Linked DNA regions of Drosophila melanogaster. The protein of the gene in region 1 interacts with the protein of each later gene in a pairwise test. Each region holds a gene or a part of one and is shown on either strand. Other genes may lie near its edges.

What was found. Proteins that work in one complex are often made in the same cells at the same time.
Region 2: the proteins of nemy (region 1) and Prim2 interact in a two-hybrid assay, tested with the Drosophila melanogaster proteins (one large-scale study listed by BioGRID).

Annotation. Positions count from the first base shown.
Region 1 is NT_033778.4:12,666,675-12,672,585, reverse strand, and holds the start of nemy (no extended memory), read left to right. Parts: upstream 1-2,366; 5' UTR 2,367-2,699; intron 2,700-4,591; 5' UTR 4,592-4,632; coding exon 4,633-4,751; intron 4,752-5,911. Other genes in the region: GLS (glutaminase), read left to right, coding at 1-1,410.
Region 2 is NT_037436.4:20,358,741-20,363,445, forward strand, and holds Prim2 (DNA primase subunit 2), read right to left. Parts: upstream 2,846-4,705; 5' UTR 2,768-2,845; coding exon 1,166-2,767; 3' UTR 1,093-1,165; downstream 1-1,092. Other genes in the region: CG5665 (uncharacterized protein), read left to right, coding at 37-296, 349-1,080; Toll-9, read right to left, coding at 3,300-3,507, 3,569-3,696, 3,767-4,705. UniProt on the Drosophila melanogaster protein: Regulatory subunit of the DNA primase complex and component of the DNA polymerase alpha complex (also known as the alpha DNA polymerase-primase complex) which play an essential role in the initiation of DNA synthesis.

The sequences.
Region 1 (5,911 bases):
AAGCCACACAATCCGATGATCAACGCTGGTGCCATTCTGACGTGCTCCCTGATGAACGCCCTTGTCAAGCCGGACATGACCTCCGCTGAGATCTTCGACTACACCATGTCTTGGTTCAAACGGCTGTCGGGCGGAGAGTATATCGGCTTTAATAATGCCGTATTCCTGTCCGAACGCGAGGCTGCCGATCGGAACTATGCCCTGGGCTTCTACATGCGGGAGAACAAGTGCTTCCCCAAGCGCACCAATCTCAAGGAGGTGATGGACTTTTACTTCCAGTGCTGCTCCATGGAGACCAACTGCGAGGCAATGTCCGTAATCGCGGCCAGTTTGGCCAATGGTGGCATCTGCCCCACCACCGAGGAGAAGGTGTTCCGGCCGGAGGTAATCCGGGATGTGCTCTCGATTATGCACTCATGCGGTACATACGACTATTCCGGACAGTTCGCCTTCAAGGTGGGTCTGCCAGCCAAGTCTGGAGTGAGTGGCGGCATGATGCTGGTCATCCCCAACGTAATGGGCATCTTTGCCTGGTCTCCGCCCTTGGATCACTTAGGCAATACAGTGAGAGGACTACAGTTTTGTGAGGAGCTGGTCTCCATGTTCAATTTCCATCGCTACGACAACCTGAAGCATCTGTCCAACAAGAAGGATCCGCGGAAGCACCGCTACGAGACCAAGGGTCTGTCCATCGTGAATCTACTCTTTTCAGCTGCCAGCGGCGATGTTACAGCCTTGCGGCGTCATCGTCTCTCCGGAATGGATATCACTCTGGCCGACTACGATGGTCGCACTGCCCTCCATTTGGCTGCGTCCGAAGGACACTTGGAGTGCGTCAAGTTCCTGCTGGAACAGTGTCATGTACCACACAACCCCAAGGATCGCTGGGGAAATCTGCCCGTGGATGAGGCAGAGAACTTCGGCCACTGTCACGTGGTGGAGTTCCTTCGCTCCTGGGCGGAGAAGGCCGACCAGTCCAGCGAGGAGTGCAAGCCCGAGGCGGTGACCAGCAAGACACAAGCGGATGAGGTCAGTTCAAGTTCAAACTCAAGTTCAAGTCCAGGTTCAAGTCCAGGTTCAAGTCCAGGTTCAAGTCCAGGTTCAAGTCCAGGTTCAAGTCCAGGTTCAAGTCCAGGCTCAAGTCCATGTGCAAGTTTAACGACGGGGGACCTTTTGGGGCACAATTCCAGAAATCTATATGAAATGCTCAAGCTGAATTCCAATTTCACCTTCCAGGAAATCTGCAGCACAAGCGACCTGGAGACCAGTCCGACAACCAGTCCCATTCCCACTCCCGTGGAATCCGGATCCAGGGCAGGATCAGGACGGTCCAGCCCGGTGCCATCGGATGCGGGCAGCACGGCGAGCGCCGGAAGCAGCATCGATGACAAAACCAAGCCGGGACTATAAGCGTACAGAGATCCAGGATCCCAGCCGAATCTCTCTGACTAAATTATTCGCACAACATTTTAGTTTATATATGATGTATTAGATTAAAGTTAAGAGTACCCAAAATACCATCAGTTCACGCTGCTTGGTTAGTCCTATATAATTTGTAGTAGTCATCCCACGTGCAAGTCGTGATCCTTCGAGGCGGATCCACTGCACGAGCGGCATTTGTACTTGTACTTGGTAGCGCTTAGTTAGCCACAAAAATTCCATGTTATCCTACGAAACAATGACAATAATCTTAACGGATATCTAACTTTCCCACATAACTGGGGTCTGTGACCTGCCTAAATGTATTGCATTCGTACTTGTCAATTGATATTTGTATGCGTTTGAATGTGTATTAAGAATCCCGTTTAAAAAGATCATATGTAAGTTCAGATATACATATTTGCTTGATGGCAATTGAATATATACATGTTTAGCTGAAAACGCACACAATATATGGCATATCGTTACTTAATGGGTCTTTTGAGGTTGGAAGATTATACATGATATATAAGAATAATAAATAAAAGATGTTTACTTACTAATTTTCTTAGAGCAATCGTAATTATACCTTTTTAATCATTAACATCAAAATTTTAAAATATGAACTCTATATTTGCATTCAATCCTGTTTTAAATGGTGTTTGAATAAATCAATTAAATTATATTGATATTTTTAAACAAACCAGGAAAATTAGAATTGATTCATTGGCAATCCTTTGGGGTTTCAAAATCGATGTATTTAATTCAAACACTTTTTCATCAATCAATTTATTCTACATTTCATGTAAATAACTCGTTCCCCTTCTACACGTATGTGCTATAAACTTTGAAAACCGAACGTATTTTACACGAAGCCACAAGACACGAAGCTGGATTATAGCACCATTATGGCATGTCATCGGTTAGTTTTCCCAGTGCCGCATGGCTCAGTTCGTTCGCAGCATTCGTGGAGTTCGGACGTGAATGTGTTATTGACTCACAGCGTTTGTGTTCCGTGCCGGTTTGTTTGCGGAGTTTCCATCATCCGTCAGCTCCCTTGCAGGCCGCTTCATCTCCGCCGGAGGAGGGATGCACTCCGTTCGCGTTCGGGCAGATGAATTAATTGTGGAAAATTGTTAAATTCCAGCTCGTTGAAGCGGCCGCAAATCCAATTAAGCGCATACACCATTCGCGCGGAGAGTTTGTGCATAATAGAGTAATTAAGTTTTCATTGAAAAGGGTTTTTGACACCGCACCGTCACACGCCACACGAACTTGGGGTAGGTTCACATTTTGCCGCAAAGACAGCAAATCGAGAGTGGCAAGAACAACAGGAGCATCGTTTCCGTTTCCGCTTTGCTAGCTGGTTTCTCATATAAGAGTGCATAAAGCACAGATTTCGCCAGACCCAAATCGGATTATTAAGTCCCTGCCACAAAAGGATGTCTGTTGTGGGAAGACTAGGCATCCCAGGCAGCCTCCATCCCAACCCATTCCGTCTCCCAGGCCCCGATTTCTGCATCCCCCCCCCTTCCCCTTGACAATCTCTCTGCACAAGTCATAGTCTGCATATCCGGGCCTCGAAATATTTGGAGCCCTTCTTTTGTGAGTGGATTTTTGGCCGCTCGCTTTGTTTGTTTGCTTCATTTGGCGCAGCTATGGGCAGCGTCAGCAGCTGCGGGATTGCATAATGTCCAGCTTCCTCTCCAGAAAGTAGCCCACAGCGATTGGGGATTGGTAAGTGGGTCTGCCCTCTGGAAACAACAAGATCTCAAATCTAATAGGAAATTCTTGATTCTTTTCTTGGGGGACATGTACTTAGGAGGCTAGAAAAGCTTTTAAAGCGCCAGCTAATTAGTTCATATTAATTAAAGAACAAATCACACAAAGCTATTATAGAATTTCATGGTGTGTGAGAACTCAATAATTAACAAAGAAATCTTATTTATTTATTAATAATAATGGAAGCAACTGCTCCATATGCTACGCTACCAACCATTAATGGTTACACAAAATATTACTTTGTATTTATATTACTTTGTATTTTTTTAGCTAGAAATACTTACAATACATACTTGTTACAAAGCTTAAATAATCTTCCGAATATTACTCAAAGTAATCAAATTTTATAATTTTGAGAACTTTACTTTGCTCCCCAAAAGAGTGAATCAAATGACTGAGGGCGAGAGCCTTTGGTGATTCCAATCAAAACCGAACTGCATGCACCCGTAACCCGAACATGTCTCTCTCTCATTTACTAATAATACCCTTGAGTTGGGACCTGTATAATCAGCATAATCCAGGCAGAGGGAATGTCAATCCCCATCGTCCAGTTCCGTGGGAACTGGACACATGTGTGAGTGTGTGGATAGGGACAGTGGGCTATGCAAACGATTCGCAGGAATTTCGGAATGAAGGGGCGGACTGCGGTTGCCGGTTGACTGGTTGACTGGGCAAAGGAAGTTGGCTTCGGCATCAGCAAATGCCAGGCATTGATGTGTCCATCAAGTGTCTCTGCATCGAGTTCAACGAACCCCCAAGAACTAGAACGTCCAATAATAATTGATTGGTGGGAAAGCAGGAAAAGGGCGCCGAACGAAAGAACCCACACACACTCTAAGCAGGAGTATCTGGAGTATCTGGAGTATCTGGAGTATCTTCGACATGACGGGCGACGTGAATCGGAAATTGGCGCTCTCTGCAGAACGCATTCGGACGTGTGATGAGCCAATTTCACACATGGCAGAGGCGGCGGAAAAAATACACGAAATCCGCAAGACAAAAAAAAAAAAACACAAACAGAGAGCGAGCCAAGTGCAATGCCCTGGACTTCAGTTGACGCTGCACTTTTGCCACCTTGTGGAGTCGCCAAAAATAAATGCCAAAAGCCATTTCCACTTCCCGCCATGAAAAGCGACTTCCCCGCTTATAATGCTTGCTTCTCCCCATTCGAAAGGCCCATATATTGTACAGAACTATATATACAGACTTATGGCGGCGCCGCCATTCATCAACAGATGAGAGCTACACCCCCTATTATTATGCAGAGTTGCGGATGTGGAATCAGAAACTGAATCTGAATCGGAATCCTGCTGCTGCTCTGTTGTTCTCTCTATTAAAATGCCACATTTAAATGCCCAGCCTCATAAACGTTTCTCTTCTCGCAATGCAGCCAGTCAGCGGAGCAGAGGCATCAAAATTGATTGCTTTCACATGGACACGAACTCGGTGAGTCCCCTTCCGCCGATGGAGGAGGCCATGGACAGGGTCAGCGAGAAGTCGCCCCCGGGAACTCCCAATGGCATCGAGATGCCCCCGCCGCCGGATGAAAAGTGAGTTGAGCCAAAAATAGACCGTGAATCTGTGTAAAGTCTGTTGCTTTAAATATTAAAACAGCTCTTATGTAGGACCAAGTGTGATATAGATGGTCAAAGATTGCCTGCCACAAAAAAATCTTAAGAAAATTTAAGTTAAATGTTCATCAGTTCGAGGAAAGCTAAGTGTTAAATTTATTATTTTTGTAATAATAGGAGCAAGATTTAAAATTATAGATACAATAAGCATTTCGAATATTTACGAAGCCTTAGGGTTTGAAGAATAATTATATTTCTTATGAAGATGCTTTATTGTTATGCTATTTACTTTTAAATATTTTTATATTTCTTCGGTTATATTTTAAAAAGTTCTCTACCACACGACCAATTAATCCCCCATGCCCAGCTAATCAACACAATTTAGTCAACAGATTCCCCAACACATTTGTTTATCAATATTTAAGTAAATTGTGTCACTTATGCATAGCAAATTCGAGGCGGGCACAAGAACGTAGAGACCAATTTCCCCGGAGGCCAATTTGGAGCTCTTGTCTAGCCGACAATTGGCCTTGCCCATCTCCGATGCGATGCTCATCTGCCAGTTGGAAGCTCTAACTTGGGATGAGAGATATGTAAAACATGAAAAGACTTAGATACCCGGCTATTCGTACGCTGGCTTTAATCGATTTTAATGGCACCACGCGGCGTATGTGTAATATTTACATGAAATAGTGCCCGAGCACGTCAGGAATTGCCCCAAAGACTAATTAACAATGACGGTGAACGGGAAATGTCGACGCCTACACACCCTTTCAGGAGGTCCCGGTTATTTTTACGCGCCAATTTCCTAATTCACGTATCTTTGAAAGTCGTAAATTTTATTTTAATGCGACCTCGTTGCAAATCACACAAAAAGCCGGACACATCCTTCCTGTAACCCGTACAGGCCCACAAATTCAACAGTTGATCGCGTGCGCCCAACTCACATAGTAACTGGCCGTAAACATTTCGCCCGGAATCCTCCATTCTCCCACGTCCCTTGGCCATGTCCTTGTCCAATTTCTGGCACGAAGCTTGGTAAGCTTCAAGTAATTACTGGTATTTTTCCTTCTCTTCCCGAGGACTCAACCTTTTCGCCGCCTCGTTTTCATTTCATTTTCATTTGATTTCCAGTAATT
Region 2 (4,705 bases), on another chromosome or scaffold:
AAAAGTTATTTGATTTTATTGTGATCTAAATGCCAGGTTCTTCCACCCTCTTTATGGACAGAATCCCTGCGCAAATCACTCCGGACATAAGGAAGATGCATTTTCAGTACATGACGCCGTGCCAGAACTACAGTGTGCCCCTGCTGGAGGCCTCGAAGCTGTGGAAGCACTCTCGATTCAGCAAGGGACGTAAGGTGGTAATTCTGGCCACCGGATGGACCAACACCGTAAACGAATCCTCGGCCATTTCGATGATCTCTAAGGCATTCATGTGTCGTGGCGATGTGAATTTTGTGGTTCGTCTCGTGAATCAATTCTGAAAGTTCATATCTAAGGCTTCCATCTCAGATTGTAGATGCGGCTGACTATGTGGACACCTTCTACGCGTGGTCGGCGCTGAACACGGATTTAATTGGAGAGCATATTGGAGTTGGTCTGACCCACCTTATAGAGCTGACCCCACTTCGAAATATTCACTTGATTGGTGGGTTCATAAAGGAATCCTTTGTGTCCATAAATTCTGGTTCTGATTTCTTTGTAGGACATTCACTAGGAGCTCACATTATGGGCACTGCTGGTCGGACTTTTAAGAAGCTTACCGGAAAACTTATACCCAGGATAACTGGCTTGGATCCGGCCAAGCCATGTTTCAGGCGGGAAAAGATTCTGCCAGGATTGACGCGTGGCGATGCCAAGCTAGTGGACATAATCCACACCAACATTGGTATTTTGGCCAAGCGTGGACCCCTCGGTGATGTGGACTTCTATCCCGGCGGAGCACATCCCATCCAGCCAGGCTGCCTAACCATCGGATGCTCTCATACCCGAGCCGTTGAGTATTTCGCCGAGAGTGCATATCCACACCAAGAGAAGAACTTTATGGGCAAGAAGTGCGCTTCTTGGGATGAGCTAAGAAAACGGGATTGTTCTGCTGGCATAGTTTCCCCGATGGGCTATCGAATGAATCCCCAAGCCAGGGGCATCTACTACGTAGATGTCAATGGCTGGCCCCCTTACGGCCGAAACTCGGAGAACACTGTTGATCCTAGGCTTAAAACGTGCTACTTGTGCCGGAGGTGAAGTCCGAACCATGGAATAATATAACTTTTCTTATTTACGATGCTTAAATATATATGTACCTTAGTTAATTTATGTTGTACAACGTTTAGTAATCGATTTGCGTAAGATCTAGATCATCATTGAAGGCCTCGGATATGTCCTTTTGGCTCTGCATGATACGCTCCTGGGTTTCCGCGATTCGCCACAACTCATCGTCATCGTCACCCATCAGCATGGACCGATCCCCATGGCCCTTGATATCTGGACGGATTCTGGCCTTGGGCGGAGCAGAACCATTGGCGCGCTTCTGCCGGTTGCCCATCGCTATCTGGCTCTCCTCGAAGTAGTTGTTGGGGTGATTGATGCTCGGCTCGACGGGTGAATTGTGGGTAAGTTGGAAGTACTTGCCGCATCCAATTTGATAGTGACCGCGGGACACAAAGAACATCACCTCGTCGATGGCACTGGCTGACAGGCCATAGGAGGACAGCTTGGTTTTCAACGAGCCCTGATCCATGTTCTTATACGGACAGCCGTGGCAATCGCCCGGCCCCGCCACATCCTTGATAATCTTGGCGCACGAGTAGGGTGTGTAGTTGACCATGGAACCCTTCTTTCCGTAGTTATGGTAAATATTGTACTCGTAGCTGCGTGTAAACTTATCCGCGTCCATTTTCTTGGTAAACTCTTCGCGCCAGAAGCGCAGCGAATCCTCCAGTGCCACGCCAATTCCTTTGAGAAACAGGCCGTATTGCATTCGGCCGCTATGTTTTATGTGATGGTTGGCACGAATGTGCTCGTGGCACATGCGCATACACAACGGCATGGAGGTCTTGGAGAGCTGATCGAGCGACTCGATGGGCACAGCTGCATCCCGACAAACGGTGTAATCCCTACCGGTATACGAGTTATGTAGAGCTTTAAGTGTGCGGGAGATGCGCTCGTCGGCTTCTACATCCTCCACCATAGTCTTAGCAGCCTGCAGGCCTTGCTCGATCTCGTCCTGCTGCTTGGTGCCCACTAGGGACACCAGGTCGTGGGTGTTAACATAGGCGTAGCCAGCCTTTAAAAAGCAGCGACGTCCGCGCACCAGATCGAGCACCTGGGTGAAGGGCACCTTGTAGAAGTCCAACAGCTCGATCTTCGCCACGCTCTGTCCGACCGTGCTCTCGTACAGGCCGTCCTTGACTTCGTCCTTCTGGGCCTCGGTGAGGGGGTGAATCTCAAAGCCGTTGGCCTCAAGGAACTGCTTCACCTCGAAGCTGCTAAGTGCAGCGAATTTGTACCGGAAGAGCTCCATTTCGCGGGCCACGAACCAGCGCGCAAGGTCCTCGGAGCGGCAGTAGGCCAGCCGCAAGATGAAGTGCGAAAGATAGTCCCGCCTGCGGGTCTGGATATCCGCCTCGTGCTTGGCGCTTCCGCCGGTGGAGCAGAGCCTTAAATAGCTGCGCAATCCCTCGCGGGTCAGGTCCGCACTCACGATTTCCTTCCATTCATCTGAGAGCACGCGCAGGTTCCGGGTGCTTGCGCGATCCAGGACGCGGAGAAGGCGCAAGCGCTCTAGAGCCAGCTCCTCGAATTCGTCTATGTGCACGTCCTCCGTCGGCGGATAGTGGTACAGCATGACGTTGTGCGGGTACTTGGTTTCCAGGCTGGCCACCTCCACCTTCACCTCATGTCTCGCGCGTTTCTTCAGACCAAACTCCATTGTGAGTCGCGGGAATTGCTATAGTAATTTACAATTTGTGGAATGCCCGTTTGTTGTTTTGGCGCGCAAACTACTGATGGCAAATATCAGCTGTGTCAGTTGTTATCGATAGTTTTCTGCTCATTATCGATGCTTGCGGTTTATTCAATTTGTATTTCAAAATTAAACGTTTTTAATTGTTATTATCAGTCAATTGGTACTGATGTATTGATTGTGTGTTGCATTGTTAGATATTTCTTAGGCCTTAGCTTTGTTTACATAGTGTCCAGTAGTAGTAGGTTATGTTTAATATACGACGCTATTGCCTTTGTTAAGATATTTCAAAAACATCACATAAGCTCTTAAAAACCTAAATACCTTTATTTATTAATATATGTTTAAACTATACTTATGTTCAGCAGCAAATTTTGCATATTACTATGATTACTGTGGGGAAACTTTCGTCTTCATGAAAGTGTAATTAAGTAGTTTATATACTATATCAGGTACGTGCACAACTGACTAGAACTCTCCGGATAAAATTACATGTTTTCTAAACACTGATCTCTCTGGAGTTGATCCCTATGACCTCCAGGGATCTCTTCAGACGTTTCCAAAACAGCTTTCGATCCTCCTTGGCCGTCGGCCACTTTATATACGTTTTCACATCCATGAGATATTGCAAAGTCTTGGGTCGCTTTCGCCGTGGAATGTCCTCCAGAAAAACCAGGATCAAGTGCTCCTTGCTGACCTCAAAGATGCTACAATATACACACATATATTGATTTTAATATTTGAATTTTACAGATAAAGATTCCTTACCGATGCTGTGCCAAATACATTTCAAATTGACACCAATGACTCAACAGGAACTTGGAGGATATGATCAGCATAAGGGAATACGAGCGATCCATGCAGGAGATGATGTTATCTAGGATGGTCACTCCAATCTGCATGTGAATTAAGGGTTAAGGTTTCACTTTATTAGTAAGTTAATGTTGTAAGATAAGTACGCTTCACCTGAAAATCTCTTTCATGCAGACAAATGGACACATCCCCAGTTTCCTCCACGTTCGGCAGCAGTTCATTGAGCACCCAGGTCCGATCATTCTGGCAGTAGCTGATGAAGATATCGTAGACGGCACTGGGATCTCTCTGGGATATGTTTGTGAATTTATTCACCGACTCCTTGGACGCACTGGACAACAAGGCAGCGGACTTCAGGGAAGAGTAATAGTAGTGGATGTGCCAGCGCTTCAGATAAATTATAAATCCCAGGATGCAAGCGCCAACTAAGCTGCCCATGACTGCGATCACTGTGTTCGTAACGTGGTGCAACTCCTCGGCGAGGTCACTCATCGACCTGATCTGGCAGTTGAGCTCATCCACCTGGAGCTGATCGGTGTTGTTGAAGCAGTAATACTGACTGGCCTCGTAGTCGAGCAGCTGAAATTTTAGGGTAAGATCTCCGTCAAGGTCCCCTAAGTGGTATGGCTGGGCCGCGGAGCACTTGGCTACCATGTAGTCCTCGGAGGAGAAGCGCAGCTTGATTATATGATTCGCGCGATTGAACTCCCTGATGTTGGAGTAACTTCTCTGCAGCCAGGGAATATAGCGACTCTGCCATAGCTTGCGATCTATAATTAGTGACTCCGCCAGAGATATTACCTCCTCACCTACGGCATTCTGACTATAGTTCAGCAGTCTATAGGAGCAGTCTGCATCTTTATTATTGGCGGCCGCCACCTCCACCACCGCTCTCAAATGGCAGTCGCAAATAAAGTCGTTGTCCCCGAGACTAAGGTAATCCAATCGCTCAAAGTCCTTCAACATCTCGTTGGACAGCATGTTGATGGTGTTGCTTCTCAGGTTCAAAACCCTTAGGGCGGAGTTGTTGTGGAAGGCACTGCGGTACCAATTGCCCACATGGTTCGAGCTCAAGTCGAGGATCTCCAGGGA